Alligator mississippiensis: one gene and its partners. The protein of the gene in region 3 interacts with the protein of the main gene of each other region in a pairwise test. Links are inferred from orthologs where the notes say so. Each region holds a gene or a part of one and is shown on either strand. Other genes may lie near its edges. The genes, in order: SUV39H2, STK4, RASSF1 and LATS2.

Region 1 (7,896 bases), on a different chromosome or scaffold from region 3:
GAGAGTAAGGTGTGCCTTTCTGTACTATCCTGTTAGGACAATCAGGACCACATCTACAGAATGAGTTGCACTCATAGATGGGCAAACCCGGTTGGATTTTTAACTGCCTATATTTATTGTAAGCCAAAAGACATCCAGCCTCCTTGGGACAACATTTCTCAGCAGGGCAATCAGAGCATTCACAGCCAGTTGTGATTCCATTGATCACATTTATTCCTGGAGCAGGCTTATATTCATTAATGTAGTAAAAGTCTAAAGGAGGACCCTCAAGATCCACAGTGTTTTCTACAAGAATCATCCCTTTATGGTTCTTCTTCCTGTTGAGTTCTTCTTTCCATCTCTGTAGAGCTACTCTTTGTTTAGCTTTCTTTACAATGTAATCTACTACTGCAGGTTTCAAAGCCTTGCCATGTTTTCTCATTATTAGTGCCTTCCCTTGCTTTGCTCGAGATAAATATTCATTCTGATCATTATGAAAGTTTTGGAGGAGCAATGGGCATTTAAGATTTTCCAAAGGTTCCCAGGTATTTGTGGATTCTGGCCATCCTTTCCACTTCACAAGGTAGTATTCTGTGCCCTTGAAATACAAAATAATAGAAGCGTTATGTCTAAACTTGTAACAGCTCAGCAAAATTCAATACTTAAAAAAAGTGGGCTTGTTCAGTGACGCAAATACTTCGCTATCACATCCATAGTACATAAAATTAAACACAAAGTTAAGGAGGTGGCATAAATGCATAGAAAAAATTATGCTAATCAGCAATGGAAAAATCATGCATTTCATATGAGGTACCATGTACTCTATCACTGCAAGTGAGGCACAAAAATAACTATACAGCTGGGGAAAAAAGAAAACAAACTAAAAACTATTTCCACGAAACCAGTACAGGGTTAATTTGCTAAAGCAGCTCTAGTAAAGGTTATATTTACTAACTTTGGTATATGAATGGAATAAAGTAAAATCACAAAAGAACAAAATAAGTCTTAACTTACCAAACAACCCTCAAACAGCACTATTTGTCATAGTTACATACATCATCCTAAAGGAATGATATGTCCAAAACACTTAAGTCTCATGAACTTGGGTTGTATATAACATAAGAACTTTAAATTGTTTTAAAATGGGCCAGATCCTGAAACTGGAGTCACGTAAGCAGGCTCTCGTAACCGCAAGTTTCCTCAGTGACTTCAGCAGTGCTCTGGCCATGCTGATCCAGGTACAGCAGCTGGCCCTAGCTGTTCAAAGTGACTATGGTACCAACAAGTCATGGTCCTTTACTTGCGAATAAAATAAAATCAACAAGAGAGCTTTCATTTCAATCATGTCATGCTCCATTATGAAAAGCAGAACCTTCCTTCCATACAACTTCAGAAGCTCAAGAAACACCATTGGGGTTTTGGTTCAATATCAATAGGTGCCTGACCAGAGGCCTGTCCTCACCTACTACTGTCCACCTTAGGGAAAACTCTCTTTCCCCTTCCAAATTGCTACTGATGCATTCATCAAAGTGCTAAATAAGACCAGACATTTATCTTACCTCTTCTACCTTGTAGCCACACAAATATTCCACCTCATAACTCTTTAGATTCCTGTTGGCGATTCCAATGGATTTACATGTGAGATTCTCCTTCCTACATAATTCCTGGAGGGTCTCATGTGCAGCTAGACATGGCACATACCAAGCTACAATAAGAAAATAGGATTCTTTACCCATTTCATGCCTTAGCTGAGTTGAAAAAAAAAATTCAGCAGATGACTTGTGTTCACTTTCTCCCAAACCCCCAGACTGAAGAATGTAAGAACTGCTATTTACTGGATCAGACCATAGGTCCATCTTGCCTGGTATCCCGTGTCACACATCCACCAGCCCAGGAAGGATCTGGCTGGGGAGAACCGGGACGAACGCGGGACTGTCTTCCACTTCACTCCTTCGCTCGTCTCTGGGCAGCTTTACCGGACAGCACCCACAGGCTCCCTCAACTTGCTCAGGGGGCAGCGAGTGCTGGCCGAAGTGATCCGAGAGCTTCCCTCCACACGAACCTCTGAGCCTCGCTCCCTTCCCTGTTTCCATGCGATTTCTCCCAAGAACTCTGTTGCTACGTCTTTACTGGCCTCCCTTCTCAAAGGAGGCTTCTAGTTTCTGGGTGAGCCTCGGCCCACAACCTCCCTCAGCGCGTCCAGCAGCCCTTGGTCAGGCAGCCCAGGAGGCAGCAAGGGTCAGGGGGTCCGAGCGCCGCTCCAGCAAGCCTAAAGCCAAGTCGCCAGCCACCCCCTCTGTGCACCTCGGCTTTGTACGTGTGCTCGTTTCTGGACAACCACAGCGACAAGAGCCCGGCTGCCTACCGCACCTCCGCCCTGCAGATGATCCTGGGTGCCACTGAGCCCGGCTGCCTACCGCACCTCCGCCCTGCAGGTGATCCTGGGCACAGCTCCCTGCTCCTAAGTCCTTCAAGCGCTCTGTCCTGTCCCCCCACCCATTAAGCACTCTACCCAGCCCTTTAACGCGCTCTATGCAGCCCCCCTCCCCCACCCGTTACAGGGCTGTCCTGCCCCCCACATTAAGCACTCTGTCCTGCCCCATCCCCCACCCTGTACAGCCCTTTAAAGCGCTCTACCCAGCCCCTCCCCCACCCTGTAAAGCACTTTGTCCTGCCCATTAAAGATCTCTGTGCAGTCCCTCCCCCTCCTTTAAAGTGCTGTCCTGCCCCCTCCCCCCCTCTAAAGTCCTCTGCCCTGCAGCCCCTCTCCCACCCTTTAAAGCGCTCTGTCCTGCCCATTAAAGCGCTCTATCCAGCCCCTCTCCCTCCTCTGAAGCGCTCTGTGTAGCCCCTCCCCCCCATTGAAGCGTCCCGCGCAGCCGCAGGCCCCGCTCGCGGGCGGCTCCCGGCGGGCACACGCCCCGCCCCCGCCCTCAGGGCCCGCTGCCGGCGGCGGAGCGGCCCCGTCCCCGGGCACGAGGGTGGTGGGGGTCGGGTCGGGTCGGGTCGGACCGGGCCCTTCCGTAGCGGCCGCACCGCACCGCGCTCACCTCCGCGCCAGCCCTCCATCTTGGCAGTCCCGCCCGCCCGGCTCGGCCCCGCCCCTCCGCGCACGCGCATGCGCGCAGCACCTCCCCAGCCCCGCCCCCGCCCCCCCTTCCTTCCCGCCACGGCGCTTCCCGCCTTTTCTGCGCGTGGCGGCGCGGCCGGGCCGGAGCTGGTTTCTCTTTGTTTCCTGCCCTGCGCGTACACTGCTGCTTGCAGGGTTAGGCCTTGGATGGCAGGGTCCTCCCAGAGCAGGTTATTTCTTTAGAAATGAAGGGCTTTGATGATGCCTTTATTAGTAAATCAACAGGATCAGTTGCACAAGGTGAACCGGCTCTAAAAACCTGAAAGCATCCCGGGATCTGGGATGGCCAGTGCCCTGAACCCATGTTTGTAACAGGCTTTTCTCTAGGTTATCCTCTATGTAGGGGCCAACTCAAATTGCAGAAGTGTGCTGCACAGCAGCTCCTTGAATCTGGCAGTGTGCTGCACACCAAAGAGACTCCATCCACACTGGTTCGTTAGGGTTGCCCTACGTCTGGGTTTTCTCAGACACGTCCTCCCATCTCCCTTTCAGGTGGTTTTTTAAAATATCAGCAAATGTCCAAGATTTTGCTCTGCCTCTGCTCAGCATCCAAGTTTTCCTTGGCACTTCCTGGCTTGCCCCAGCAAGGAGCTGCTTGGGGCTGGGGAGAACTGGGGGAGAGGGCAATTGGATGCAGGGGCATCACAGACCTGTGTGAGCCCCGGCAGCTGCAGGCAAGTAAGTCTGTAGTGGGCAGGGGTTGAAGGGAAAGGGCCAGGGCTGGAGACCATCTGTGTCTGGGTCTCGGTGTGTGACAGGCTGGGTGCCTGCTGGCACTGGGGCTTCAGCAGAGCAGGAAGGCAGGGGAGGTGTCTGCCCCTCCAGCAGGGGAAGGGGTGGGGGTTTTGGGGGGGGCAGCAGGGCTGGGGGGAACGGGGCTGTGGGTTGGGAGTGAGGGGAACCAGCAGGGCTGGGGAGATCCTGCATGTCGAGAGCAAGGAGCACCAGCAGGGTGAGGGGCGTGCAGGCAGGGGCTGTGGGTTGGGAGTTAAGGGCACTGTGGGGGCTGTGGCTTGTGGGCACCATGGAGGCAGGGGACTATGGGTTAGGATCATGGGGCATGATCCTGCGACTGGGGGGTGCACCATGGCAGCGAGCAGGGACCGCCCGCAGCCACTGCCAGCAGCAGGAGAAGGGGAGGAGGGACAAGCAGCGAGCGGGGTCTGCAGGCGGCCGCATCGGCAGCGGTGCGGGGGCAGCAACCACCCACAGAAGCCAGCAGCAGCTTCAGCAGTGGCCAATCTCAGGTGGGGGCACATGCCCTCATGACCCCCCTACACATCATCTATGGGTATGGGGGGTATGGGTTGGGAATGAGGGGTACCAGCATGGTCTGGGGGTTGGGAGTGAATTGCAAGGGGGGTGGGCTGTGGCTTAGGAGTGAGGGGCAGATGCAGGGCACAGGCATATCACTGCCCCCTGACAACTGAATTTCACCCCCCCCCCCCCAGGGTCTTTTTTGCAACTGGAAATATGGTAACCCTAGGTTAATCCCCATGGTCAGATTGATACAGACTGGGCACATCTATACAAGAGGTTTACTGTGGAGTTGCCTAATTAGCTCCACAGAAACAGCTGTCTGCATGTGCAGCCCTTTTAGGCCCCAGGAAACTAATAAACTTTGCAGCAAGTTAGTATTTGTAAATACAAGTACAGTTCTGCTGTGGAGGTATTTTGTGCATAGCAGCGCATGTATAGACTCTGACCTGGCTGGCTGAGGCATAAAGGTGCTTTAGTACAGGGGCTGCCTGCCAGCTAGCCCTGCACTGGCGCACCCTCGTGCCCCAGCCAGCCCCTCCACGGCATGTGATGCAGGGTCAGAACAAGCCCCAGGCTGTCAGGCTGATACCTTGGGTTCCCTGCCAGCCAGGGCTACTCTGACCCAGTTTAACGTTCTGCGATCCCAGACACACACGTAAACGCAGTGCCCAGGAACAATAAACTCCGGTATGGTAAGTGCCAGAGTTTATTATGTCACATTCATATGTACATGTAGGCACACCCACTGTGGGGGGGTTTGCCGTCTACACAGGATCCCCTGAGTATGTAAGGACATTTCATAGAAACAGGACCTTGTCTGCCTGATTCCCCTGCTTTACCCTTGGCAAGTTAGGGTGTTAGGCATGTTGTGTCAGGGCTGACACTGGTCTTTTGTAGAGCTTAGATTATGGATTCTTGTAAAAGGGTCGCATCCCAGGGGTGGCTGTGACGTTCCCCTGGAGGCTCCACAGCCGTGCCCCCTTCCATCCCTGAGGTGCCTCCCATCTTTTCTGCCATGCCTTGATGGTGCAGTTTTAGGTCTTACCAAGGACCAGCTTCAGGCCTACCTGATCATACTCATCTCTCTCTGGGCTTCCCCTAGATGTCCAGCATCCCTCCTAGGCTGCTAGGTACTGGGCTCCCTGGCCCTAGCTTCATCTCTCCTCTAAGTCCTCTATCTCTGGCCCCATCTCACTCGTGGAGCCCTACCAGCCATCGTCATACTGGGCTACACACTCCCTGATGGCTTCTTAGCTGTGGTCTCCACAAGGACCTTTGTGCCTCTCCTAGGCCCTGGCCCTGTCTCTGGGTCAGCTGAGGCTCCAGGCTCCCAGCTCTAGCCAGCTTTCCTGGTGGGCTCTCTCACCCTTGGGCCACTCCTGGGCCCTGGCCCCAGCATAGGCTAGTTGAAGTTCCCAGGGTCAGTCCTTTAGCTGCCAGCCCTCTCCTCTCTGTGGGTCCATTCTCGGGTCCCTCCATGCATTGCTCTCTCTGCAAGTTCAGAGCCCTCCATAGGTCTTTCTACATACCCGCTTCCTTTGGGCCTCTCACAAAGCCCCTGTGCACACAGCTCCTCTCTGGGTTTGTCAAGCCCTCCTCAACAGGCCACAGGCACTCAGCTACTTTCTCTGGGTTCCTCTGGCCTCTCAACAAGCCCCCATGCACTCTGCCCCTTTCTCTCTCTAGGCTCATCCAGCCTCTCCACAGGTCCCTATGCACTCAGCCCCTTTTCAGGACTCTGAATCCCACACTGGGTCCCCAGGAGCCTCCTCCATCCCCTTAGTTCCTATCCAAACCTCCAGATATCATTCTCCTCACTAGCGGCAGCCCTCCGGCTGGGTGATGTGCCTTACTGCCAGCCCTGCTTTCAGGATCTAGGCTTATACCCCATCTAAGCCTTGATTGAGGAGAGTCATCTCCTCCAAGCAGGTGACTCTTCAGTCAAGTGACTCCTTTGATCAGGCCTAGCCTCACCTGCCAGCCCCCTGGGGCAGCTGACTGCAATCTGCCCTGACCCTCACCTGCCAGTGGCTCAGCAGGCTGCCTGACCTAAAGTGGCAGGAGATGCAGTGCCCTGCCACAATTGGATAGGAATGATCCTGCCTTAGGCAGGGGCTGGACCAGATGACCTCTGGAGGTCCCTTCCAGCCTGACTTCTCTATGATTCTATGAATCAAATCATATCTGCCCAATTTCCCCCTTTGTCATTCAGTTTCTTCCAAACAAATCAGACTGTTCAGATAAGCCAGATATGAATAAAGTCCTTTTCTAAGAAAGCTAACCATTATGCTAAACAAAGTTAAGTACAAAATACATCAAAGCTTTCTTACTTCACTTTTACCTTCTCTCTGGCATCACAATAACAAGCCTGCACAAATGTGTTGCCAGTGATCATTTAAGAGCCTAAATTGTACAATCTAGGAAAATAAAAGAGGACATCTGAGAGGTTTCTTTGTTCCAGGACACCAAAGAACCAAAACCATCTAGTTTTGCAGTGGGCCTTGGAATGTGTTAATTAAGCAAGATTTAAAATTCCAGGGGAAGATCTGTCTCTTTTCATCTCTGCACCTGGTCTTAGCACATAAATTGGTCCTAACACATCAATTACTCCTTCCTCTTTGTCTAACACATTTACACATGTCATCCTAGCTGTCACAATCCCCAAGGGACCACTTGCTTAAGACCCCTAGCTTTATATATTCTCTTTAAATATTCTCAGAAGCCCAGACAGAGCTAGAGCGGGTGAGCCTCTGACTCCTTGGACTCTTGATCCCCAGCCTTTTGATCCTTGTGCCCACCTGCTCACCTCACTCCTCCATCTGTGGTACCCCAGAAGCTGATTCAGCTCCTGGAGGAGGACTGTACCTTTTTTGAGGTTTCAGAGCCCAACCAGTCCCAAGCAGCAAAGCAGACAGCGCTCTTAAAAACACAACTAGCAGATTTCTTCTTCCCTGAAGCCTAATGGGTCTATGCAGGAAATAGTAGGGCTGGGGTGTTGCACAAGATATGTTTGGTGGTACCTTTTATTGACTCAACTACATCCGTTGTGGGGGGAAAAAGCAAAGCTAACTTCTTGGGACAAAACAGCCTCAGCAGTTCTCCCTTAGACTGCTCTGGTCCTGCCTGCCTGTCCGTCTCCTTGCCCTCGTCTCTGTGCATCTTCCTTTTCAGGGCCTTCTCAAGTGTACATTTTTTAAAATAAATTACTTAACAGAGGACAAACAGGTAATTTAGATAATCATTCAGTCTAAGACTGCTTTCATAGTTTCATAGTTTCATACTTGGCAGGGTCGGAAGGGACCTGAGCAGGTCATCAAGTCCGACCCCCTGCCATGTCAGGGAAAAGTACTGGGGTCAAACAACCCCAGGAAGGTGTTTGTCTAACCTCCTCTTAAAGAACCCCAGGGTCAGAGCCAGCACCACTTTGCTTGGAAGTTGGTTCCAGATCCTAGCCGCCCTGACAGTGAAGTCGCGCCTCCTGATGACTAGTCTGAATCTACCCTATGCCAGCTTGTGACCGCTATTTC
Region 2 (7,573 bases), on a different chromosome or scaffold from region 3:
TTATTGCCTATTTCAAGTGACACTAAGCTTCCCTGTTCCTGAACATATTCAGAAATTCAATGGTATTCTTTCAGCATCTAATGAGCCTGAATCAGGAGTGATCCAAATTATCTAGGACACCCTGTCTTTTACAGCATACCTTTTTATAGAGGGTTAAGATGGAAACAAAAACAATTTTGCTTTCTGGAGTGTTCACATCTAATCTGGGTCAGGTATAGTTAAACTTCCATATAGACAATTATATACTAAATTATAGGTAAACTAAACACATTACTAACAGCAGATATTTTGCTCCCTTGTCAGTTAAACTAGAACAAAAAAAAGAAAAGAAAAGAAAGCCAGCTGCTATCTGTCACAAAACAAAGGAAACTGCCTCTTCTGCTCATCTCTCAAACATACAGTTAGAAACAGCTGCACACCACCGATAGTGTTCTGACAGACTGAAACTTCATTCAATTGCTGAAGTGCTTCCAAATTATCCTCTGTCCAGAGTTGTTCAACAACAGTCTGCAGTGAAATGATAGGCTACTAACAGCTTGGTTCACATGTCTTTGAAATCCCAAACTGACACTGCCTGCACACCCAACAGATGTTACTTATCAGAAAAAAGTAAGAGCGAACATTAAGGAATGTTAGCAACAGTATACAAGGCATTGAACTGAGCTTCAAAGGATAAACATCCTGTCACTGCTAGCTTGCACTTTTAACTGCTAAATGGAATAACTAGGAGATTAGAAAATAAATCATTTCATTCCCCGCCCCCCCTTAATACACATGTAATAAATAGTGGCCTTTGTTGATGAGTAACTTTAATTAAAAGGGAAGACACAAGTGACTTCCAAAAATCAAAATTCTACTTCCTTAGACTAAATATGCCCTAGGCCTTTCCCAAACTAATTAAAAAGAAATTTAACATCTGATTTGACATGTCTCAGTCAGTCCTAAAAGGAAAAGTTGGGGGGTTTTTTTGTTTTTTTTAAGAGTACAGAATGAATCTCCTATTGAAAAATGGAAGATTTTAAGTCATTAGTTTTTCATGATCTAGCAAGGTTTCAGACCTAGTTATACTAGCATGTTGTCTGTCATTCAAAAGTCCTCTTAATTAGACTTTTAAGATTAACTCCCAATATTAACTCAATCTACAATTAGAGGGAAAAAATGAACAGATTCATATTGCTGGCAACTTTTCATACTTCTACACTTTCAGGGGTTCTTTAGAGAAGGTTTGACACCCCCCATTATTTCCCATCAGCTTCCGGTTTTGCTTGTGAACAATATGAGCCAAAGGTTGCAACAGAATAAATTACACATCAGTTGATCCATTTCTTCCTCTTGGCTACTTAAATCATCTGGTTGTGAATTGCTCTGTCTAGGCTCCACTGCTCTCATCCATAGTCAGAGATCATTGAACCTTAAAATAGACAGGAACATTGGCAGAACGCAGAGAGAACATGATAGATCTCACCTAAAAAAAGAGCTTTGTGCAGTTTTGCAAGAGATACACAAGGTTATCACAACAACTGCTACCCCAAAATACCCCGAAATATTTCTAAGGTATTTTAAAGGGTCACCAGCTTGACTTCTAAAATCACCGGGAAGTGAACTTTCCCAAATGTCAAAGAAAACATAATTGTCATAGGATCTATGATACAGTGCACGTGCACAGATGAAGATAAAGCCCTCCAAATATTCTGCTATAAGGAAATGCGAGTTCCCTTAGCTATCATCACTTGCCAGACTTAGTGCTTGGAGACCTAGAAGTAATTACAGGGCATTCAGAACTCCAGACGGATTTACTTATGACTAACAAATATATTCCACACCATATAAATGGAATAAGTGCATCAGCAACAAGGAAATCCCACAAGTTTTGCTTTCCTCCATGAAATATTTTAGTTGCAACTCTAAGCAATATATTCTATTAACTAACTGATGCTCCTTGCACAGAAAGGAAAATTGTGAAGACGCTACCTCAGTCATCTTAGCTGTACCTACTGGGTTTCAGAGAAAAAGGGTATTATTAAGAAGACAACATTAGGTCTTTATTTGGACTTACAGCAATGACCAGATTTCCCCTCCTTTTACTCCCTTTTTTTTTCAGTGCCTTGAATACCAAAGGTTTTGGATTTTCCTGTTGCCTTACATAAAAAGGCAGGTTAAGCTGGAACATTTCCTCGAGTTCCCGATACCTATTTAGACTGGCAACCCCCAGAGAGCAAATGACTCTTATTCTGTGAAGAGCTGTGGGAATTCAGCACTTCAACAATGCCTCTTTGATCATGCTAAGGCAGAGGTGTCTTAAACATCACGACTACAAAAGCACAGCTCTCGTTTCCATGATTGGCAGTTACGTTGCCAAGACTCCCGTTCCTTGCCATACTTGCATTCGGTAACGGTGACTCGGTGTTGTTATTCAAGCAAGAACAAGTAACCTGACAGGGCCCCGAGGCCTTTCTTGCTTCACCCGGCGCCTTGCTTTCTGAAATAAGTCCGGTTACAGGCTGGACACGGCTCCTGCGTGACAAGCCCGGCTCCCCTAACCCCACATAACAACAATACACCTGCGAGGATGGTTTGAAGAAGGGTGGAACCCACGACCAAAATCCCCAGCCAGCAGGGGAGCGACTCCTCCGGCTACAAACAAACGACCTATTTAATTCGGGGCTGATTAATTCGGGCGAGATCGGACACGCGTCAATACGCAACTAAGTCGCAGCAGCCGCGACTACCCCGCGGTGGGGCGTGGGGCCGCCCCCGGCCCCGGCGGAGGTGCTGCCACCCCGGGCGCTCGGAGCCGCGAGTCCCCATGACAACCGGGTCCGCCGGCCCGCCCCCGCCTCGCCTCGCCTCTCCTCACCGGCGCGGGTTGCGCAGCTGTACGGTCTCCATGGCGCGGCGGGCCCGTGCGGGCGACGGCGGGAGACGCGCTCACTCCGCTATGGCCATGGCCACGGTGCCTCCTCTACCTCCCGCTCCACCGGCTCCGCGCGGCTTCCGCTCCGCTTCCGCCTCCTCCGCCCCCACACGCCGGAAGCGTGGGGCGGGGCCGAACGGCAGTCACGTGGTCTCGCGGAGAGGGCGGGGCTCCGCGCCTCCTGCGGCAGAGGGGCGCGGCCAGGCCGCGGGACCGCCCCCAGCCCGAGGCAGTTTCCCAGAATGCGTCGCGCCCTCCTCATGGGCGGGTGTGACTCGTCGCGCGCGTCAGGCCAGGCTCCTGCACGCGCGGTGTCCAGCCAGCCCCGCCGCGTAAAAGATGCGCCTAGTTTCTAGCCCTGCCCCGCCCCGCCCCAGCAGGGAGCCGGGCCCGGCCTTTCCCCGCCCCGCTGTCGCGAGACCCTGCCCCCGGGGGCGGGGCAGGGGCAGGGGCAGGGGCGGGGCCGAGCAGAAGCCGGCGGAGCTGCCCCGCCCCGGCTAGGAGCCGGCAGGAAGCGGCGCCCGGAGCCCCCGGGGAGCAGCCGACGCCCGACTGCGCCTGCCGGCCCCATGGCCCCCGAGCCGCGGGTCGCGGCGCTGCGCAGCGCCGGCAACGAGCAGTTCCGCAGCGGGCAGTACGGGCAGGCGGCTGCGCTCTACAGCCGTGCGCTGGCGCTGCTCGAGGCAGCAGGTAGGGGCGAGAGGAGGGCCCGGCTCGCCCTCTGCCTCCCGCCGAGCCTGGGGCAGGCAGGGGACCCCTCCGCGGGACACCGCGCGGCTGTGAGCTGAGCCCCCCCGCGCGGTTCCTGCCAGGTGCGGCCCCCTGGCCCGTCCGTCCTCCCGGGGCGCGCCAGGGCGGGGCAGAGCTGCTAGAGCAGGGCCCCTCGCAGCAGCGCGGCTCTGCCGACTCCCCCCGCGCCTTCGGTGGCCCAGTTTAAAAATAGTGCCGCGCGGTGGAGGGCAGCCAGCGGGTGACCTGCTCTCGTCATTGCGGAGGTAACGCGCGTTTGGCCGGCTGGACCCGCGGGGAGCGGCAGCCTCCTTGCCACAGTGCGGGTTGTTGCCTTATATGCAGAGCCCAGGCTCCTCGGCCTCTTGTCGGCCCGGATCAAGCACAGTCCTAACTTGCCTGGCAGGGGAAATGCCATGATCACTAGGCCTGTGTGAAACGGCTGGTATTCGCTTCGGATTTGGCCCATTTGGGGGACAGTGATTTGATTAAATGATTCGAATCGCTGTCCCGATTAGATTCCGCCAAATCTGATTCGGAGAGTCGGCAGCAGCCAAATTTCTGAATCAGCCAGGCCAGGCCCATCCCCAACCCCTCTCCCAGGTGGCAATGGCTGCCCCAGCTCCCAGCACTAGTAAAAAAATAAATAAAAAGCCCTGGATCACCAGGTGTTCCTGGGTGGGGGGTGATCCCTGCTGCCCCTCGCTGCATGGGGGCATGCTGCATGTCTCTGCATGACCCCCCCACCCCCCTGACCCTCCCCCTCACTCCTCCAGCCCCTTCCCATGTGTGCACCTCACGGGCCAGCTCTGGCCCTTTAAGGAAAAAAAAATGGAAACAACCCTGGGACTGGCTGCTGGGGGGGGCAATCCCCACACCATGCGGGGGACTCTGCGCAAGACCCCCCAGCTGCTGCAGGAGCAGTGAGTCTGGGGCTTTTCTCAAGTTTTTTTTTTTTTTCTTAAAGGGCTGGAGCTGGCCCAGGTGAGGCACCCGTGGGGGGGGTCGGGGGGCTTGTACAGAGCCCCCCGTGGGGCAGTGGGGGGGGCAGCAGGTTTGGACCCCCCCTGCTCAGCAGCACCCAGTGAGCACCGGGGCTATTTTATTTTTTTTAAAGTACTGGGAGCTGGGGTGGGCGGGAGCAGCCATGGTGGGGGGGGGCTGACCAGGGTCCCCTCCATGGTCCCCTCCCCCAGCCAGCCCCTCTTCCCCTGCCCCTAGTACTTACCAGTTCACAGTCAACTGCAGCTCCCTGCTGCAGCCACTGGGGACTGCCCAAGTCATCAAAGCTTTCCAAAGCTTTTCCGAAGATTTGGAGAGCTTTGAGTCGATTCAGACCTTTAAATTGGTCCCCTGATTTGATTCGGATTCTGAGATTCGGCCGCTGAATCGGGCCAAATCTCCTCCAGATAGAATCACTACCCAAAGCTTCACACAGCCCTGATGATCACCCTGGTGGCTTCCTAGTTGCACCTGGGGAAGACCGCTCTGCTGGCATGGAACAGTATCTGCATAGTTAATACATAGTTAACCCTGGCTTTATGCCCACCTTATGGAAATGGGAGACTCCTCCCTAGCTTGCTTCTGGGGCCTTATGGCTAAGGGCAAGCAAAACTTGGAGGCATCCAAACTCCTGGCTTGGGCCTGCAAGTAGGATGCCCACCAAAGGATTCGGGAACATCTGAAGACCCAGATGGGGGTGGAAGATGTTTGCCAGTAGTAGGGGCACCTATGGTTCTGGACTGACTCTCGAATTTGGAATTTGTTTTGGCAAATTTGGCTTGGAATTATAAAAATGTTCAGAAAATTATAAATTTGGCTTGGAATTATAAAAATTATAAAAAATCTTGGAAAATTATAATAATTAAAAAAAAATCACAATCCAGCCATGGCCCCACAGCACAACATAAACCCAGATGTGGCTGCCAAGGTCCCAAACTTGTTCCATCATAAAGTTGCTAGGGGCTTTTCTTTTTAAACCTTCTACAGGCTCATGTGTTCTGCTGTTGAGTGCTGTCACTACCAGCTGCAGCAATGAAAAAGACAGAATTATGAACCGGGAAACTAGAGACTGGGATCTTCTGAACTCTTAAGCCTAGATCTGATCCACATCGGGATGATCATTGTTTGCTTCTTTGGGGAGACTGACAATTAAGTACCTGATGCTTTGAAGATGAAAGATGAGCTTTATTGCTGGTACTGATCAGTAACTTTAGCAGTTGAGCTTCCAAATGGCTCTCTTGAGCCATACTTCAATATCTGTGAGATCCATCTTATTTTTAGTACCCCTTTTCTGGTGTAAGTAGAAACATCTAATACAGGAATTGGCCATAGCATGCACTGAATATATTGTCCCACATTTCCCACCTTGAATTTATCTTCTGTTTTTGTTTCTGCTCCTAGGGGAGAAGGATGCTGAGGAAATGAGTGTCCTCCATTCAAATCGAGCTGCCTGCTATCTGAAGGATGGGAATTGTAGCCTCTGTGTTAAGGACTGTACTGTGTAAGTAGCTGTTACCCAGATGAAAACCTAAACCGTGTTTTTGTTGTGAATGAAATAAGATAGTGTGTGGTTACCAACTGGGCCTTTCATTTAAGACTATTGGGAGGAAAAGTTAAGTACCTTTAGGGAACCATATAGTAGCCTCCATCCCAAACACTGGCATTGGTCAGCCACCCATAGCAAAACACATATGGGCGAAGCATTTTGCTTGGCCTTTTGTTGTTGGTGTCATTTAAACAAGGTGGGGAGAAGATGTCAAATTCATTTGCTTGAAGCAGTACAAAGGCCTCTCTTCCTTGCTAACCATGTATACATTACTTTTATTTTTTAATTTTTTAATACTGTTGAATTGGCCTTCCATTCCCTACTCACTCCTGCAGGATCATTCCCTACCTAAACCTTTCCACAGCTCTACATCTTTAGTTGTTCTGTAGCACAGCTGAACTGCAACCTGTGTCCATAGCCCTTGTCCCAGCATACTTTCCTGCTTTTGGTTTTGTTTATTCTGAGAAAAAAGTGACTGTCACTGGGAGATAGAATTAATATCTTTCTTCCTTTGTCCCCTGGCTACAACACTGCACACCTGAGAGATGCAGAAGTTCCCCATTCACTTCTGCAGGATCATTCCCTGTCAAGCAAATATTTCCAAGGTGCAATTCTGTAGTTTCAAGGTTGTGCCTTTAAAACTTAGTCATGAAAAGCTGATACCTGACAAACCCCCAGTCCATCAAGTACACCAACCTTCTCCTCTCTGCTGAACTTAACTCAGGTGGCCCAGTGACCTCTCTTGCTTCCTCCCCCTGATACAGTGCACTGGACCTTGTTCCTTTTGGAATCAAACCTCTGTTGAGGCGGGCAGCAGCCTATGAGGCTCTTGAGAGATACCAGCTAGCCTATGTGGACTACAAGACTGTATTGCAGATTGACTGCACTGTACAGGCTGCACATGATGGTGTCAACAGGTAACTTCTAAGTTTATACTGTTACACAAGCCAAAATGGAGGCTTGACAATACAGGCAGCAGCCTGGGTCACTCACAGCCCTGCTTTTAGGATGGTTGCTCATGGACAGGTTGGGTGACTTTGGATTCTGGTTAAATAGCAGAAACCCATTCATCTTCTACCCCTATGCTGTGAATTCTTTAGTGTTAGTGTTGTTTGCTGTCAGCCCTGCAGCTCTCTGTGCCCTTTATGCTACTTCCCTCCCTTCTAGCTGGTAAATGATACACTTGACTGTTCACACTTTCAAGCATTTTGCACACTGTTTATTCTTGAGCAGCTAATGAATGATAAGTGGTCATGATTCAATATTTGCCCCCTCCCCATTCTTACAGGATAAATATGAGTAAATATGACTGCAGTAGGCTTGACTCAACAAGGTCCACGATTAATGACAGGTACCTAAACCTTGCCACAGCTCTACATCTT
Region 3 (8,158 bases):
AGAGCCTGTGGCCAGGTGCTCTCCTCAGTCTGGCCCACTACAGGACCCTCAAGGAGAGGGTGGGGGAGCAGTGAGTGGGGATCTGGAGTGCTAGGGAGGGTGTCGGGGGGTAGTGGGCCTGACCTGGGCCAGTGAGAGAGGGACCCAGGTAGGGTATTTACACTAAGGCTACATCCTCAGTGGCTACACTTTAGTGTAACACCAGCTGCATAGCAGGATCAGAGATAATCCTGTCCTGGAATGGCATAACTTTAAACCACATACCAAGTGCTAAAAACCTAGATGCTTTACTAATATGCAAGGAGGCTATTATTATTATTATTATTATTATTAAGGAGGCTAGACTATATTATTCAGCTTAAGATCAAAGCAAAAAAATACAACTATTGGAGCATGCAATAGTTTGCTAGATTATATACAAAATTAAGAACACACAGACAACAAACCAGGCAAAAATAGTCAAAAGATAGTCTGGAAAAGCGCAGGCTCAGGGGGACCTGGTGACTGCCACACAAGGGGTGTTCATCAGGACCTGGGAGAATGGCTGTTTACCAGAGCGCCCCATGGGAAAACAAGGACCAACGGTTATAAACTCCTGCAAGACCATTTTAGGCTGGACATAAGAAAAACATTCTTTACTATCCGAGCCCCCAAGACCTGGAATAGACTCCTTCCAGATGTGGTGCAGGCACCTACTCTTGACTCATTCAAGAAACACTTGGATGCTTATCTTGCTGCGGTCCTTTGACCCTAGCTGACTTCCTGCCCCTAGGGCAGGGGGCTGGACTTGATGATCTTCAAGGTCCCTTCCAGCCCTAATGTCTATGAAATTTATATTGTGACATTAGTCCTGTAGTCATTCTAGTTACATGTATATCTCATTCAGATTCATAAAATGAAATCTAGCCACCTTGGGCATCTGGATAGTGCCCCAATACTTCACAGTCAATCATGTCTCCACCTAAATTAATATTACCATACCTGAGCTAAGGCTTTTTAGCTAGAGCTAAAAAGTCTACAGGGTTGTGAAACAGAAGAGATTACCAGAAATAACTAACAGACAGCAGCATTACAGAAGAAAGAATAGTTTGACTAGCAGAACATCAAGACCTTTAAAAAGGATAGAGGATTGTTGACACTTGTGGAGTGGAGACAGATTAGCAGGAATCAGGGAGATGATAATGAGACATGAAGTCAATTGACTCTGTCCCCCCAGCCTGAATAGAAATCTTGCTGCCTCTGCCAGGCAGTTGGTTTTAAAATGTGTAGGGACCAGAAATAAAAGAAGAGGAGGGGGGAGATGCAACTGCACCCACCCTGGATCCAGCTCTGCCTGGTGCCAGGGAACAGCTTAACCCAGGGGGTTGCAACCTTTTTAAAGGAGTGTACCCCTTCTAGTGGGTACCCCTTCTGGAGTATACCCCCTTCCAGACGGTGAGGGGGTTGTGCTGATGGCTGGCCAGGGAGCAGGGGGGTGGGATGCTGACAGCACAGCCAACCTGACACAAAGCCAGCAGCGCAGGGAAGCAGTGTGTGGCAAAGGCACAGAATGGTGAATGGTGGTAGTGGGGGGTGAGGAAGTGACACACGGTGGCTGCTGCCACCATTCACCACTCTGTGCCGCCACTACATGCCACTTCCCTGTGTCGCCATGCATACTCCCTGGGGCTGTCTCAAGTATCCCCAAGGGTATGCGTACCCCTGGTTGACAATCCCTGGCTTAACTCATGCAATCAGCCCCCAAAGCTAGTTTGTGCTGGGCGGTGTCCCAAAGTCTCCTGACTTCCCATTCCCAGGGGCTCTGGGCTGATTCCTAACTGAGGAAGCTCCTTAGATTTCCCTCTCAGACAACCCTCAGAAGAGCAACAAGACACCAAGGCAGGACTCAGAGGGCTCAACATCCCAAATCTGACTGGCTACATCTCTGCTGTGGGGCAGGGACACAGGGACCCCAGCCAGCAGCAGGCCCTGGTCAGGCCTTTCTCAAGCACCCTCCCTACCTGCTCTCTCCTGCAGGCTCCACACCCAGAACTGCACCAGGATGCTGTCCTGGGGCATCCCCCACAGTCACCTGCAGCCCCACCATCTCCTGCACACTTGAAAGCAGCTGTGGGGCTGACTCGGAGCAGCCTCACTGCTGCATTTTTGGGTCCGGAGCAGAGTGTGCTCAGTGACCCTGTGAGGACAGACTTCTGTCATGCTGGAGATATACACAGTGCATGACCAGGACCTGCTCACACCGGAGACCTGGAGCCTCCTGCATGGGCCAGAGCCCAAACCTAGCTGTGCGGCCGGAGTGCTGGGCTTGTCTCAGGGCAGCCTCACTGGCAGGGCATGGTGAGCTGGAGGCAGCACTGGACTCTCTCCGTGGCATTTCCAAGGGGCCCGTTGCTGGATGGGTGCATGGTCAAGCACAAGGGCAAACGGGGTGCTTCTCCCTACAGGGCCTCAGTGACCTTCCCAGTCCCCTTCCCCTGCCCATCAACAAGACTCCTTTGATGCCCTTTTACATTTGAATTGAAACTGCTCTGCCGGCAAGTGCAAGGCCAGGGTGCTCCTGAAGCGCCGCCAACAGAGAGGGGCACTACTTGTGTGCAAGCCCGGCGGGTGCAGGGCAGAGGGCAAGGGGGAAACTGCTGTGGCTTGCTCTGGCCACAGGCTCAGGCGTGTCCAGTCCCCAGCCCGCTGGTACCAACCCGTGCAGCCGGGCAGTCCCTGGCGTGGTGCCGCCGCCGCCGCCTGACCCCTCGCGCGGCAGTGGCACCCGGGGCCCAGCTGCTGCCTGCAGGAGGTGCCGGCCACGGGGACAGCGCAGGGCGTCGCTGCGCGGCTCTGGGGGGAAGGAAGCTGCGCCCCCGGCCCGGCCCGGCCCGGCAAGGTACTCACGGCCGCACTGCAGGCTCCTGCTGCGGACGCCCCAGATGAAGTCCCCGCACAGGTCGCACCAGGCGTGGTGGCCGCGGGCGCGGGGCCGGAAGGCGTGACCCTGGCCCTGGCCCTGGCCCTGGTCCTGGCCCGGGACGGCCCGGGCGTGCCGCACGCGGCCGAGCAGCTCGGGCATCCGGCCCGGGGCGATGCGCAGCGCGTTGGCCCGCTCCAGCCGCCCCCCGCGAGCCGGCGCCAGGTCCTGCAGCTCGATCATCTCCTGCTGCCCCCCGCGCGCCGCCCGCGCCATCCCCGGGCACCCGGGCCGGTCCTGCGCCGGGGCTGCGAGGGCCGCCCGGTCCCCGCTCCTTCGCTCCGCGCCTCACTTTCCCCTCCCCGGCGGCCCGCGGGGGCTGGCCCGGCCGCAGCAGGAGTGGGCGGCCGCCTCCCCCGGCCCTAGGAGCCGCCCCGAGGGCAGGCAGGGCTGCGGGGCAGGGGCGTCGCCGAGGCCGCGGCGGCCCGCGAGGAGCCCCCGTCCCGGCACCTGGGGCGGCTCCTCCGAGTCCCGTCACGCTCCCGCCCGTCCCCTCGGCGGCGGCGCCCCGCCGTCCCGCCCGCCTCCCCGCCCCCTTCTGCCGCCCGCGCTGGAGCCTCGCGTGGGTCGGGCCAGCCCGGAGCCGGGAGCTCCCACGCCCGGGCTGCCCGTCCCGGGGCAGAGCCGGGGGTGCCGCTCCAGCGACCAGAGGCTGCCGCGGCCCATTGGCACGGGTGTCCCCGCAGGAGAGGAAGGCACCTCGGGGCTTGGCAGCCGCCCGTGAGACCCGGCTTTGCTGAGGGGGGAGGACAACCCTCGCTACTGGTGCCATGGCATTAGCCTCTTCCTGCCACAGCACAGCCTGGCAAGGAATGGGGCTGGAGCCATTTTCGTTTTTCACCCCAAAGAATAAGGCCTCACTTTCTTCTTCACAGACATCTTCCCCCTTCCCGGATGGGTCCAACCAGGGTGGAAGGAAGTGGCTTCCCTGTGGAGCAAGGAGCAGGCAGCCATCTGCAGAGCTCACTCCCACCAGCGGTGCCCCACAGGGCAGAGCCTGTAGCTAGGCAAAGGGGCTGCTGCTGGTGCCTTGTGAGTCCCCCCACACCGCACTCGCAGCCTGTGGCACCAGGAATGCATCTTTTCTCCTTCCTCGCTTCCTACCAGCCCTGCCTCATCAGCAACTGCTACTCTCTACACTCCTGGTAGGATGCCTGGCTCCAGCCACGGCTTTTAATACCCAGCTCCAAGCCAGGCAGCTGCCTGGGAATTCAACAGCCACGCTTGCACCAGTCTCCCAAGAAATGGGGCCAGACCCAATGTGGACAGAAGCAGGCAACAAAGGACATATGGTGGCCCAGGCTTATGCCATGAAGGAGGTGAAATCAAGTAGAGCTGAGAGAGGCCACTTGCCATCAGCAGGTCAAAGCACATAGCTAAGAGACTTGTAGAAATGGCACCGTCCATGGCTCAAGGGAGGGAGTAGCAGGGTGTTATGGGTGGGTTGGCTCATTAAGAGGAGCTGGGCTTTGCTTCACCTACGAGTCATCACAAGGGGAAGGCTTTCCACCTGGGGTACATCAGAGCCTAGAAGAGCTCAGTTGCCAGTGGGAGCTTCCCCTCAGGGCACAGGGGGAAGATCCCCTCAGGCATGTGGCCTGTGGAACACAGCATTGCAAGAACCAGAGACACTTGCCTTAACCCCCAAAGAGATGCTTTGTACTGTGCAATCCTGCAAGAGACCCCACTCACAGAGAAGGGATCTGTTTGATGTGTGGAACATGGCTAGTGGAAAAAAAATCTGAAGCCCTAATGAAAAGTAGTTGGGGGGTGGATCCCCAACTGACATGGGACTTCACCGCCATGGGTGGTGAGCTCACAAGGCTGTTGTTAGGCTACCTCCTCCTCTTCCAATGGCAGTTGAGCTTGGCTGATTAGCTCCTCTTCACTCCTCTTCCTTATCTCCATGAATCTCCAAAACAACCAGTAAGAGGCTGGGCTCAGTCCACTGCAATGCCTATCAGCACCCCGAGGGGTGAACAGGGACCATCCCACCAAGGCTGGAAGTATCTCATTGACACACTCATGCACTGACAGACTCCACCTCTTCATTGGGGTGACTCTTGGTGCTAGTGCCATACTCAAACAATGGCCTTGCAGCTGGCAGCATCTTGAGATCCCCAAAATGTCAAGGGGTTTGCCTCAGTCCTTGGCCTTCTCTGAGCTGCTCAAGGCTAGTTGGCTTGGGATGACTGAGACACTGAGGATAATGCTCCTCCTCTTCCTCATTCCAGGGTGTCCTTCATCTGCAGAGAGCACCTCACGGACCCATCTCCCCACACAATGACAACATATAGATGAGAGGAAAGCAACAGGGTCTCCAGAGAGCTTACAGACATCAGACTTCATCCTCTACATTAGCATTAGATGCTTCATTCTGACCCAATTCCTGTTTGCTGATTCTCAGCCCCTCTGCCCTTGCAGAGAGGAGCATCCCCAGCCCCCTGGGCCTATTATCTGCAGAGCAGCAGCAGCAGCTGTGCAATGGCTGGGGTAGCCCAAGATGGAACTTGTCCCATAAAGACACTGGCTGAGTGCAAGCAGCTCCAGCCACTCCATATGTTGGAGTTTATTCAGGGTCCTCTGGCCAGCCTCACAAATCCTGTGGCTGCCACAGCTGCCAAGAAGCCCAGTCAGCTGGCAGCCAGTCCCGTTTGTTGCTGGTGGTCACCATGGTATTGCAGTTAAAAACCTGCACACAATCAGCTGCAAAGCTTGACCAGCTCACTGTCTGGTTTCAATGGAAAAAAATAGAATCAGAGCAATGGGTGGGCCTAACCAAGGAAAAGAGAGCTCCTTGGGGGCATGGCTCCTGCTGGCACTGAAATACAAGATGAATAGATCAAAAATATCCAGGACGGGCTCAAACTGAACTGGATTTTTTTTTACTCTAAGGACAAGCCATTTCCTGGGAGTGAGAGTTGCCAGGAAGCATTAACAGGGTAGCTGGTCAAAGCAGGGGACACTGAAATAAGCAGTGATTTTCCTGTCACCATCTCTTCTCCTCTTGGGCTGACCCAGTACTTCCAGATCTTGGAAAACTTATTTTCCCCTAACCACCTGCTGGCTTGATAGTGCTATTGGCAATCAGGAACAATAGTTTTCCTCTTGCATCAGAACAGATCAATAATTCAGCTGAGCAGTCATCCAGTCTACAAGTGTGGTCAATGTTGGGTGTTCTAAAGGAGGATGTAAAAACCTCACCAAAGGCAGACAACCTGCCCACCTGCATAGGGAGAACAGTGGTGAACATGTTGCTCTAAATCAGGGGCAGGCAATTATTTCGGGTGGAAGGCCACTTACTGAGTTTTGGCAAGCCACATGACAGGCAGCTAGGGGCAGATAAATATTAATTTTCTAAATTTTTAGGGGCCCCGTGGGCTGGATAGAATGGCCTGGAGGGCTGCATCTGGCCCATAGGTCACATTTTGCCCACCCCTGCTCTAGATGCTACGATAGATTCAGGGTCACTTCATGGAAGTTAGTAGAGGTACTGGTCTAGTGTAGGTGTGGAGTAATTCTGTTAATTTCACTGGGAGACTCCAAATTTACACAGGGTAGATGAGATCGGACTCCACTTTTCTGCCCTTTGGGCTTACTCCCTTCCTCCAACATAGTGGCTAATCTGTTTAATCTGTTTGTCTTTTACCATGGGGGCAGATCACACTAGCAAACCCTATATTCTAAATGTGCTTATCCCTACCTCTCTGAGGAGGACTTATGCCAACTGGACATAGACCCATATCCTGTCATACCACAGCTCTGGGAAGAGGCTAGGTTCTTCCTTACTCTCCAGTTTAGATTGTGCACCCAGAAGCCATGAAAATTCCCCGTTACCCTGCTCCCACAGTTGCAGGGAGGGTTCACTGGCTGGCCTCCTGTCACCCTAGGGAGTTTGGGGTAAGGCAGGCCAAGCTCTGATTATTTTCTAAAGCCCAGCCCAGCCCAGCCCAGCCCTGCAGTCCCAGTCACAGCTCAGAGAATGATTCAGGTAAAGTAGCAATATCCCCGCTCCTGCATGGAGTCAGCATCCTGTTGGAGTCTGCTCTCAGCTCGAGCTCTTGAATGCCCCTAGTTGATTTCTAGACAGAGGCTCTATTGCAAAAGAGACCCAGGCCCAGCATGTGCTGTGATGTTCTTTCACAGCTGGCGAGACAGAGAAAGGATCCTCACACTAGTGCCAGAAATGCAAGGGTCATTCCCTGCTATGGATCTCTAAGTAATCAGGAAGGGACACAGAAGGAACATTGACTGATGCCCTCTGACTTTGCAACCTCCCAGGTTCCTGACACCAAAGCAGGGGAAGAACAAACCCAAGAAAAGCATTTGCTATGAGTAACCAGTTAAAACACTTTCAACTTACCAGAACTAAGGTAGTTCTGGTGTAGCCTGAACTCCCTAGGAAAGCAGACCCTTCCTGCTGCCTTGTCTTCTCCTCACAACTCTTTTCAGATCAGAATTCTCCACCAGAATTTATGAACTGGTGGCTCCAGCCTACTTTATGGACACTATTCACCAATGCAGAGCTTTTGCCTAGGCCCAAAAGGTGGCTTCTTGCTGAGATGGGTCTAGTGGCTGGAGGACACCCCTGGGAGATAGCTCAGCTTTTCCATGAATCTTCCTTCTGTGATCTGGGACAAGACACTTCCCCTCTCCATGCTTCACTTTCTCCCACTTTCAAATAGGTCTGGTGATACTGACCTAACCCATGGAGATCAGTTGCAGTACTGACTATGGACATTAGCCACTTACCCAACTTGGGCAATTCAGGGCAGTGTCTGAAAAGTCATTTGTCTTTTATTGGCCAAGACGACATTACCAAACACTGCCAAACAGCTACAGGACAACATTGTCAAACACTGACACTTAAGGGCATACACCTTTGCTGTCTTGAAAAAGGTTCAATGAAAGGAAGCTGCAACAGGAGTGGAGAGTCCTGGGTTCTGATCCTAGGCCTCCCACCAATTGAGTGTGCAACCCTGGGCACATCACTTGTCTTCCCTTCACCTCTGCCTTCTCCTTCTGTCCAGCATGATGGTAATCCCCTACTTTCTTTAAAGTATTGTGTGATCCTCTGCAAAAAGTACCTGGGTGAACACTGAGCATTGTTCTTGCCTGGAAGGGTGCCAAGCAGCATAGCTATACAATAAATCCTCTCTTCTTATCAATTTCCATTTCATATCCACCTTCCCCTTTCCT
Region 4 (8,110 bases), on a different chromosome or scaffold from region 3:
AGCAGCTCTGGGCATTCACTTGGCATTGCTCTAGCATTTCTGACCTCATTTGAGGATTTGGCACCCAGAGCAGGAGTGAATGGGTAGGGAACGCTCCACTGTGGTGAGCTCTACAGGCAGTGCTTCTGTGGGAGGCACCTGGGAGTGGCACAGAAGTCTTGTCCAGAGGAGTTTTGATCATTCAAAACAAACCCCTCCAAATAAGTACAACATGGAGATACACTGGGTTCAATTCACTCCTGGCATGAGTCAGAGGTATAGCAGCCCAGTATTTTTTAGTCCAGTATCTTAGCTGATCTACCTTCTGCCTCATCTTCACACACATGCACCAGGTGGTGTTGCTGTGGATGGGCCTGGTTGGGCAGGCTCACCCAAATATGAACCTGTACAATGCCTGGTGCAAGTATAAATTCCTTGAGAGTTTTTCACTGTGCCAAGGAGAGCATTTAATGTATAAGGCAGGGTCATAATTTACAATATAAACGATTTGCTGTGATGTCAGAGAGCTGATGGCTGCCTATATGCCTTGCCTATGCGCCTTACGTTGGGACACACTTAAATTTCTGCTCCTAGCACAGCTGACATGTACATATTCCCCTCAAGCAGCAACAAGAGGCCTTATCTATTGCACAAAGTCCCCTGTCTGAGACAAAAGAAAGAAATACATAATAAATGCCCAGTAACAGGATTGTTCTCACTAACCTTATTTTCCTATTCATATTTCTGAGTGACTAATACTTGGGAATGGAGAATACAAGAGACTGAATTTATTCATAGTTCAAGCCTTATGAAAGCACCCTCTGAGCCAACTTCCTCTTACACTGCCACCCCATTGAAGCCAACCCTGACCTTTAGGGACCACCCTCTTCAGGAATGGAGGGTTATTCAGCCGGCATCCTGTCTCCGAGCTGGCCACCTCCCCTGAGCAGCAGACACTTTGCTGCAGCGGAACTCTGACCATTTGTTTCTGAGAATTTCTCCTGTTACTAAAGGAGTCAGCTGCAGGAGCCAAAGCAAAGATTCCTAAAGCTGGCCAGGAATGGGGTCCAATCTGCATGTTACAAGACACAGCCTCAAACTGTGAAACTCAAATTATGAATCTGATGAAACATAAGGCAGTGGGAATAGCAAGATGGCACCAGTGGAAACTGCTTCCTTCCTTAGATCACTTGCATATCATTTCACCTCAGCTGAGTATGCAGAGAAAAGAAAGAACTGGCTCCTCCTATTCTTTATTCAAGTCATAGTTTCATAGTTTCATAGTTGGTAGGGTTGGAAGGGACCTGAGCAGATCATCAAGTCCGACCCCCCGCCATGGCAGGAAAAAGTACTGGGGTCAAATGACCCCAGCAAGGTGTTCGTCTAACCTCCTCTTAAAGACCCTCAGGGTAGGAGCCAGCACCACTTAGCTTGGAAGTTGGTTCCAGATCCTAGCCGCCCTGACTGTGAAGTAGCGCCTCCTGATGTCTAGTCTGAATCTACCCTCTGCCAGCTTGTGACTGTTATTTCTAGTCACTCCTGGTAGTGCTCGGGGGAACAGGGACTCCCCTGATGCCTGCTGGTCCCCTCTGACTAGTTTGTAACAGGCCACTAGATCCCCTCTCAGCCTTCGCTTGTGGAGGCTGAACAGGTTCAGGTCCCTTAGCCTCTCCTTGTAGGGTCTGCCCTGCTGCCCCCTGATCATGTGAGTGGCACTCCTCTGGACCCTCTCAATGCTGTCCACATCCCTCCTGAAGTGCGGCACCCAGAACTGGATGCAGTAAGTACTCCAACTGCGGCCTGACCAGTGCCGCATAGAGGGGGAAGATCACTCTTCAAACCCCTTCAAAGTCAGTGGGAGCTGCAGGTGGGGCTGGCACGGCCAGATCTGGGAAACCTTATTTACAACCGGCTCCTATGTCTGCCATGCAATATAATTTGTCACTTTGCCGTGCAAGGAAACCCATAATGAACATCTCCCTCAAAACAACCCTTTCTTGCAGAGATCTATAGAATCATAGAAATGAAGGAACTTCAAGGGGTCATCTCATCCATCCCCCGGCTCTAATCCAGGATCAGATATACTTAGGCCAGCCTTGACAGATGTTTGTCTAATCTGTTCCTAAACCACCACAAAGATAGGGAAAACACAACATGTCCTGGCAACCAGTTCAGGTGCATCCATGTCTGAGGCTCTGACTCCCACTGGGAGTGGTGACCCCACAGCTCTCTCAAAGGAATTGCTATGCAGTTAATGATACAATGCTAGTGTCTCCACTCCCACACACCTCCCATGTACCACATGTAGAAATGGGATTCTGGCAGAGTGTTGGGGTGAGGGAACAAAAGCCAGCAACAAGGAAGAAAGAAAGAAAGAATTTCTTTACACCTAACTAAGCCCATTCATATATTTTGAGTTTCTTAGTCTTAGGATCTTTGATGCAATCTTCCATTATTATAGGGGAAGGAAGGTGAGGTTTTTTGCTGAAACTTTGCATTCTCTACATAAAACTGTTAAATTGTACTGAACTAATTTTTGACACTACATCCCACATTTCTGCCCATTTTGGAGTGTTCCCCCTCTGGCTCTTTCCAGCTTTGTTTTTTCTTTTCAGTATTATTCACTTAATTTAGTCTGGCTACTCCTGTAACAGCAAGTGACTTGCTTTGGGCAAAACAGTTTGTACACTAGATTTATTGTCTTCATGCTTAGATGTCCATCTTGTAATGTCTTCTGTATATGGGCCCATCCAAGCTTCTCACTCTCTTTTCTCCTCTTTACTTTAAGCTTAGTGTTTTGGAGGAAGTTGATCAAACTGAGCATTCTTGTGAATTTGCGCTTGGCTGCCAAGAATGCAAGTGATTCATCCCTCTGTAAGGAGAAGTGCTGGCAATAAAACCCTCCCGTTCCCCTTTTTTACATGCAAAATACGGTTACTGCTCCAAACAAGTAAATCTTTATACTCAGAACAAAGCGCGCTATTAATTGCATGACAACCAGAATTCTTAAAATACTTTCAAGATCTATTCTTAGAACAAGGAAATATTGTCACCAGAGGCTTGTAATTGATTAGATGTAAATTATAACTACTGGCACAACATATCAAAACGGTACCTCTGCTTCAGATCCCTGACATTTTTACCTTGTCAGCAGCAGGACCAAATTCCAGCAGTTTTTCTTTATGTCATGGAGAACTGAAGACTCTTCCAGGAAACAGCAGAATCTTTTTTGGGGGGTGTGGGGGGAGGGGAAGAGAGGGAAACATGTTATTTGCTTTAATTAGGAGAGAGCAACAGCTGAACTATCTGTTTAGTGCAAGAAATTATCCGGAGTGCAGAACTGGTTGTTGATAACCACGGCGTTAGCATGGCAGTACTGGTGCAGGCTTTAGCGCCACCTACCAAACTCCCAAAGGAATTCACTTCTCTGCAAAGGGCATTCCATTCCAGTGCAACACTTAGTAATATGCAAATTGCTCATCTGATCAACTTCCACATATATGTATCAGGAAATCCTAACATCCCACTCCATTGAATGATAGGCTTTCAAATATATCAGTTGGAGATGTTTGTATTTTGTCTTTGATTTAGCAGGGACATTTTCTCTTATTTGACAGATCCCATTAAGCAAGGCAGCATGGTATTGAATGCACATCATTATGGCTGTGACAACAAGGCTTGTTCATGAGTAATCCAAATTTTTGAGGGCTTGATTAAAGTATATTTGAATTAATCTTATTTTTGCAATGGGGGTTACAAAGCCTAAGCCAGTCCAATAAAGTTTTATTAAACCAAAGCTGTACCTGCTAAAGCCATCTGTAATAAAAGATTTCCTTTCAGCTTGTTTACAACAGTTTCCTGCAGATTGTTCTGCAATTGATTAATTTGTTTCTAAGATGCACAGCCTTTTACTTATGGGCAGCATGTGAAAAAGAGACCAGTGTACTTGTAAGGCAGTTTGAAATATCTCCATTTACTAGACATTTGCATCCACATCCAAACTTTCTAGATGAGATGTATTTGGAATCTGTTATTCCCCAGGATCCATATGAATAGCAGGTCAATTATGTTGGTCAGAAAGAACTTGCTTTAGATTTTATGTGAGTTTTACATTTGTTCACAAATGACCTGTATAATGCTGACATTGCACTGAAAGAGAATGAAGGGTGAAAACTACCCTCCCTGAAGTCAATGGCCAAACTTTGATTTTAATGGGCCAGAATGTACTGGATGCAAAACCCATTTGTGTGTGTCAAATTATAGTAGTTATCACTCAGTATGCCAGATAAAGAATTCCTTTTCAGTCAACAGCTGAAAAGATGCAATTCACTCTTTCAAAAAAACCAGCATCTAAGTTCCTACTTTCTCTTGCTCTATTTTATGATTCCAGGACATTTGGTTTTACTAGAACTATGCCTGTCACTTTTGTTAGGGTGATGTCCCCATTTCTATTGTGCAGTGCATCTTGAAGGAGGTGGGTTGTCATAAAAGAACTGTTATTTCATTTTGAGTTAAAACATCACATAATATAAATTCTCAGCACAAGGCATTTCCTTTCTTTAAGACAAAATAGTTAACAGGTATTGCAATATACATGGAGCAGCAGTTAGAAAATGTGGTTTTACATAGCATATTTTAACACTTCCCAGGTATTTTGTAACAGCTATTACATTGTGGGCCTAAATAGTGTGTATCTGTTGGCTGACATCACTCCACCTAACATCAGAAGAACAGTGGCCAGCAGGATAGAAAAATTGAGACAGTCTGAAGATGTAAGACACCCGCTGTACAACTATCCCACAGCACACAAGTGACTGAAGTCATACAGGAGCTTTCTTACCAGCACCCAACCTCTTGATGCCACACTCAAGGAGACATGACTATGGATATGAAACAAGAAGCTGAAAATATACCTGCAAGCGAAAAAATGGATATTCTGGTGTCTACATCTTTACCACCAGGGGCCGATGAGCCACGGCAAAGGTAGCAATGTCTCAACCGCCTACACAATGGAGTTGGACGCTCCAAGAAATGAATGAAGAAGTGGGGCTATACCATTAGTTCAACCACCTGTGACTGTGGCACAGAGCCTCAGACTATGCAACACCTGCTGCAGTGCCCACTGCTTGAAGGCACATGTACAATGTAAGATCTTGGAAAAAAAAGTATAATAAATTGAGCACAAGCATGTGGAACAAAATGGTCAAATGTGGTGTAGAGATATGAGAAGATTGTGGACATGTAATGACCTTGTAGGCAAAGTATAGTTATAGAGCAGACTTGCACATTGAGCCACAAAGGTTACAATGCTTGCCACATGAAAATGAATAATTTTAGGAACAGAGTTTTGCAAGTTCCTCACAATCTTTAAAAGCAAGAAAAGTAGAATGGCTCACATGACATCAATTTTTGTTATGTAGCATATTGCATTGTCTTCACATTCTTTAGGGTCTAGTGAATCACAGTATAACAGTACAATACTAAATAAAGCTGTGTATATGTCAATTATTATGGTTGTAGCTTGACAAGAGTAGGTGTATTTATCAGCAGTTTTAGTTGCAATAAGAAAGTTGGTGTGCAGTGCCATAAATGATAGTAGATTAAACCCTTGTCTAAAAACCTGCTGCCCTGGAGTAGCAACTAAGAGGAAAATGTCTGGTATGGTGTGTGTGGGACTAACCATGGCCCTATTGTTCTACATCAGAGTCACATGCACTTACACACTGAAAATGTGCAGTAATGTATCTGAGGCTGTACATGAAACTGAGGATGTACATGAAACTGGATACATGAAGGGGAATTCTCAGTTAAATCCTTAGAAACCAACTAGATAAGTATTGGGAGTAGTCCTCTTTTAATATAACTCTACCATGTGAGGAGAAAAAAATGGACCTTTCTGGGGAAGTCCTGAAGTAATGACGGGCCTGATTTTGTAGATCTTATTTATGTAAATAGTCCCTCTGCAGCATAAGGAGGACTCATCATTATCATTTTCAGTAGCTGATGATGACCACATTTCATCTTCTGACAAAAGCATTCAGAGATGCACTCTTGGGTGGCAAAATAAGATTTTTGTCTGCAACGTAGTCACAGACCAAATAGACAGTGGTGGATACTGCAGACTAGCAGGGCTGATCCTGAACCTGAAACTTTGGATTTTGCCGCTGCATTCTTGATGTGTCTATTCGTAGTCATTTCCAGCATCATGGACAACACTGCAACATATTCATAAGCCTTTTGTTCCCAGCTTCAGACATCAATACTGCCTTGACTGAAGGGTCATTTTAGAAGATCCTTTATCTTCTACAAATCGGACCACATCAACATCTACCACAGCACAGTGCTGCATAAAGCATTTCTTAATAAGCTAATTTAAAGATATCCTGATTATATGGCCAGACCATCTTGACTGTGCTTTTATAATCATGCCACCTGTGCTTCACATATTTGCTCACTCCAGTATTTGGAACTTTGTCCTGCCATCTTAATTTCATAATGTTTCTTGGACATGGGTGAGGAGACTTCTCAATAATTGCCACACTGATTGCTTTTCTTCATATGTGTGTGTGCATGGGCACATTTATATCGTCCAATGGCAGCACTGCTCTTTTTTCTTCTGTTTCTAAGATGATGGTACATTTGGTGGCAAGAATTTAACTGGTGAGAGATTGAGGTAGGCAACTTATTGATAGTCTTACTGGTCATGCTTAGTTCCTTGTTGGCAGATTTTTAAAGTGCCTAGGAAGTGTTAGTAAAACTCCATTGACTTCAGGCATGGGTGGTTCCAGGATTTCATGATGAGGAGTGTGGCATACCACATTTCAGATGGTGAGGGGATCGGAGTGAGGCATGGCTGGAGCACCTGGGCCAGTGGGGGACACTAGGGAGCCAGGCAGGGAGTAAAAATACAAAATTGGGACTCTCCTGCCAGCACTATTCCCAGCTGACCCGGGGGGGAGCCCCAGAATTGCTCAGGGTGGTGGACAGGGAGTCCCAGAACCCTGCCCAGGGTGGTGGGTGGGTTGGTATTGACCTGGAAGGACGTGGGCAGTGGGGTCCTGAAGGGCTCGGTCCTTGGACTGATACTCTTCAATGTATTCATCAGTGACTTGGACGAGGGAGTGAAGTGTACTCTGTCCAAGTTTGCAGATGATACAAAACTGTGTGGAGAAGTGGACACACCAGAGGGCAGGGAACAGCTACAGGCAGACCTGGACAGGTTGGACAAATGGGCAGAAAACAACAGAATGAGATTTAACAAGGAGAAATGCAAAGTTCTGCACCTAGGGAGGAAAAATGTCCAGCACACCTACTGCCTAGGGAATGACCTGCTTGGCAGCACGGAAGCAGAAAGGGATCTCAGAGTCCTAGTGGACTCCAAGATGAACATGAGTCGGCAGTGTGATGAAGTCATCAGCAAAGCTAATGGCACTTTATCATGCATCAGCAGATGCATAACAAACAGAATCAAGGAGGTGATACTTCCCCTCTATCGGGCGCTGGTCAGACCGCAGTTGAAATACTGCGTCCAGTTTTGGGCGCCACACTTTAAGAGGGATGTGGATAACCTAGAGAAGGTCCAGAGAAAGGCCACTTGTATGGTTAAGGGCTTGCAAGCCAAGCCCTATGAGGAGAGACTAGGGCACCTGGACCTCTTCAGCCTCCGCAAGAGAAGGTTGAGAGGCGACCTTGTGGCTGCCTATAAATTCATCATGGGGGTGCAGAAGGGAATTGGTGAGGCTCTTCTCACCAAGGCGCCCCTGGGGGTTACAAGAAATAATGGCCATAAGCTAGCAGAGAGCAGATTTAGACTGGACATTAGGAAGAACTTCTTCACAGTTAGAGTGGCCAAAGTCTGGAATGGGCTCCCAAGGGAGGTGATGCTCTCCCCTACCCTGGAGGTCTTCAAGAGGAGGTTAGATAGGCATCTGGCTAGGGTCATCTGAACCCAGCACTCTTTCCTGCCTATGCAGGGGGTCGGACTCAATGATCTATTGAGGTCCCTTCCAACCCTAACATCTATGAATCTATGAATCTATGCTCCTGCCCCCTCCAGCTGGGGGTTGTGGGGAGCAGCTGCACAGGGAGCTGGGCTCAGCCAGGGCAGCAGTGGCAGCATGCAGATTCCTTT

The links.
Region 1: the proteins of RASSF1 (region 3) and SUV39H2 interact in a two-hybrid assay, tested with the Homo sapiens proteins (2 studies listed by BioGRID and IntAct). The link is inferred for Alligator mississippiensis from reciprocal best matches to the Homo sapiens genes RASSF1 and SUV39H2.
Region 2: the proteins of RASSF1 (region 3) and STK4 interact in binary tests that used the Homo sapiens proteins (3 or more experiments, as listed by UniProt). The link is inferred for Alligator mississippiensis from reciprocal best matches to the Homo sapiens genes RASSF1 and STK4.
Region 4: the proteins of RASSF1 (region 3) and LATS2 come close enough for resonance energy transfer, tested with the Homo sapiens proteins (2 studies listed by BioGRID). The link is inferred for Alligator mississippiensis from reciprocal best matches to the Homo sapiens genes RASSF1 and LATS2.

The regions. Positions count from the first base shown.
Region 1 is NC_081827.1:15,548,979-15,556,874, reverse strand, and holds the start of SUV39H2 (histone-lysine N-methyltransferase SUV39H2), read right to left. Parts: upstream 3,073-7,896; 5' UTR 3,049-3,072; coding exon 3,030-3,048; intron 1,685-3,029; coding exon 1,539-1,684; intron 578-1,538; coding exon 1-577. UniProt on the Homo sapiens protein: Histone methyltransferase that specifically trimethylates 'Lys-9' of histone H3 using monomethylated H3 'Lys-9' as substrate.
Region 2 is NC_081832.1:16,838,561-16,846,133, reverse strand, and holds the start of STK4 (serine/threonine-protein kinase 4), read right to left. Parts: upstream 3,102-7,573; 5' UTR 2,890-3,101; coding exon 2,858-2,889; intron 1-2,857. Other genes in the region: TOMM34 (mitochondrial import receptor subunit TOM34), read left to right, coding at 3,484-3,604, 6,047-6,146, 6,956-7,108. UniProt on the Homo sapiens protein: Stress-activated, pro-apoptotic kinase which, following caspase-cleavage, enters the nucleus and induces chromatin condensation followed by internucleosomal DNA fragmentation.
Region 3 is NC_081835.1:43,829,525-43,837,682, forward strand, and holds the start of RASSF1 (ras association domain-containing protein 1), read right to left. Parts: upstream 3,407-8,158; 5' UTR 3,176-3,406; coding exon 2,887-3,175; intron 1-2,886. UniProt on the Homo sapiens protein: Potential tumor suppressor. Required for death receptor-dependent apoptosis. Mediates activation of STK3/MST2 and STK4/MST1 during Fas-induced apoptosis by preventing their dephosphorylation.
Region 4 is NC_081824.1:433,393,548-433,401,657, reverse strand, and holds the start of LATS2 (serine/threonine-protein kinase LATS2), read right to left. Parts: upstream 3,247-8,110; 5' UTR 3,123-3,246; intron 1-3,122. UniProt on the Homo sapiens protein: Negative regulator of YAP1 in the Hippo signaling pathway that plays a pivotal role in organ size control and tumor suppression by restricting proliferation and promoting apoptosis.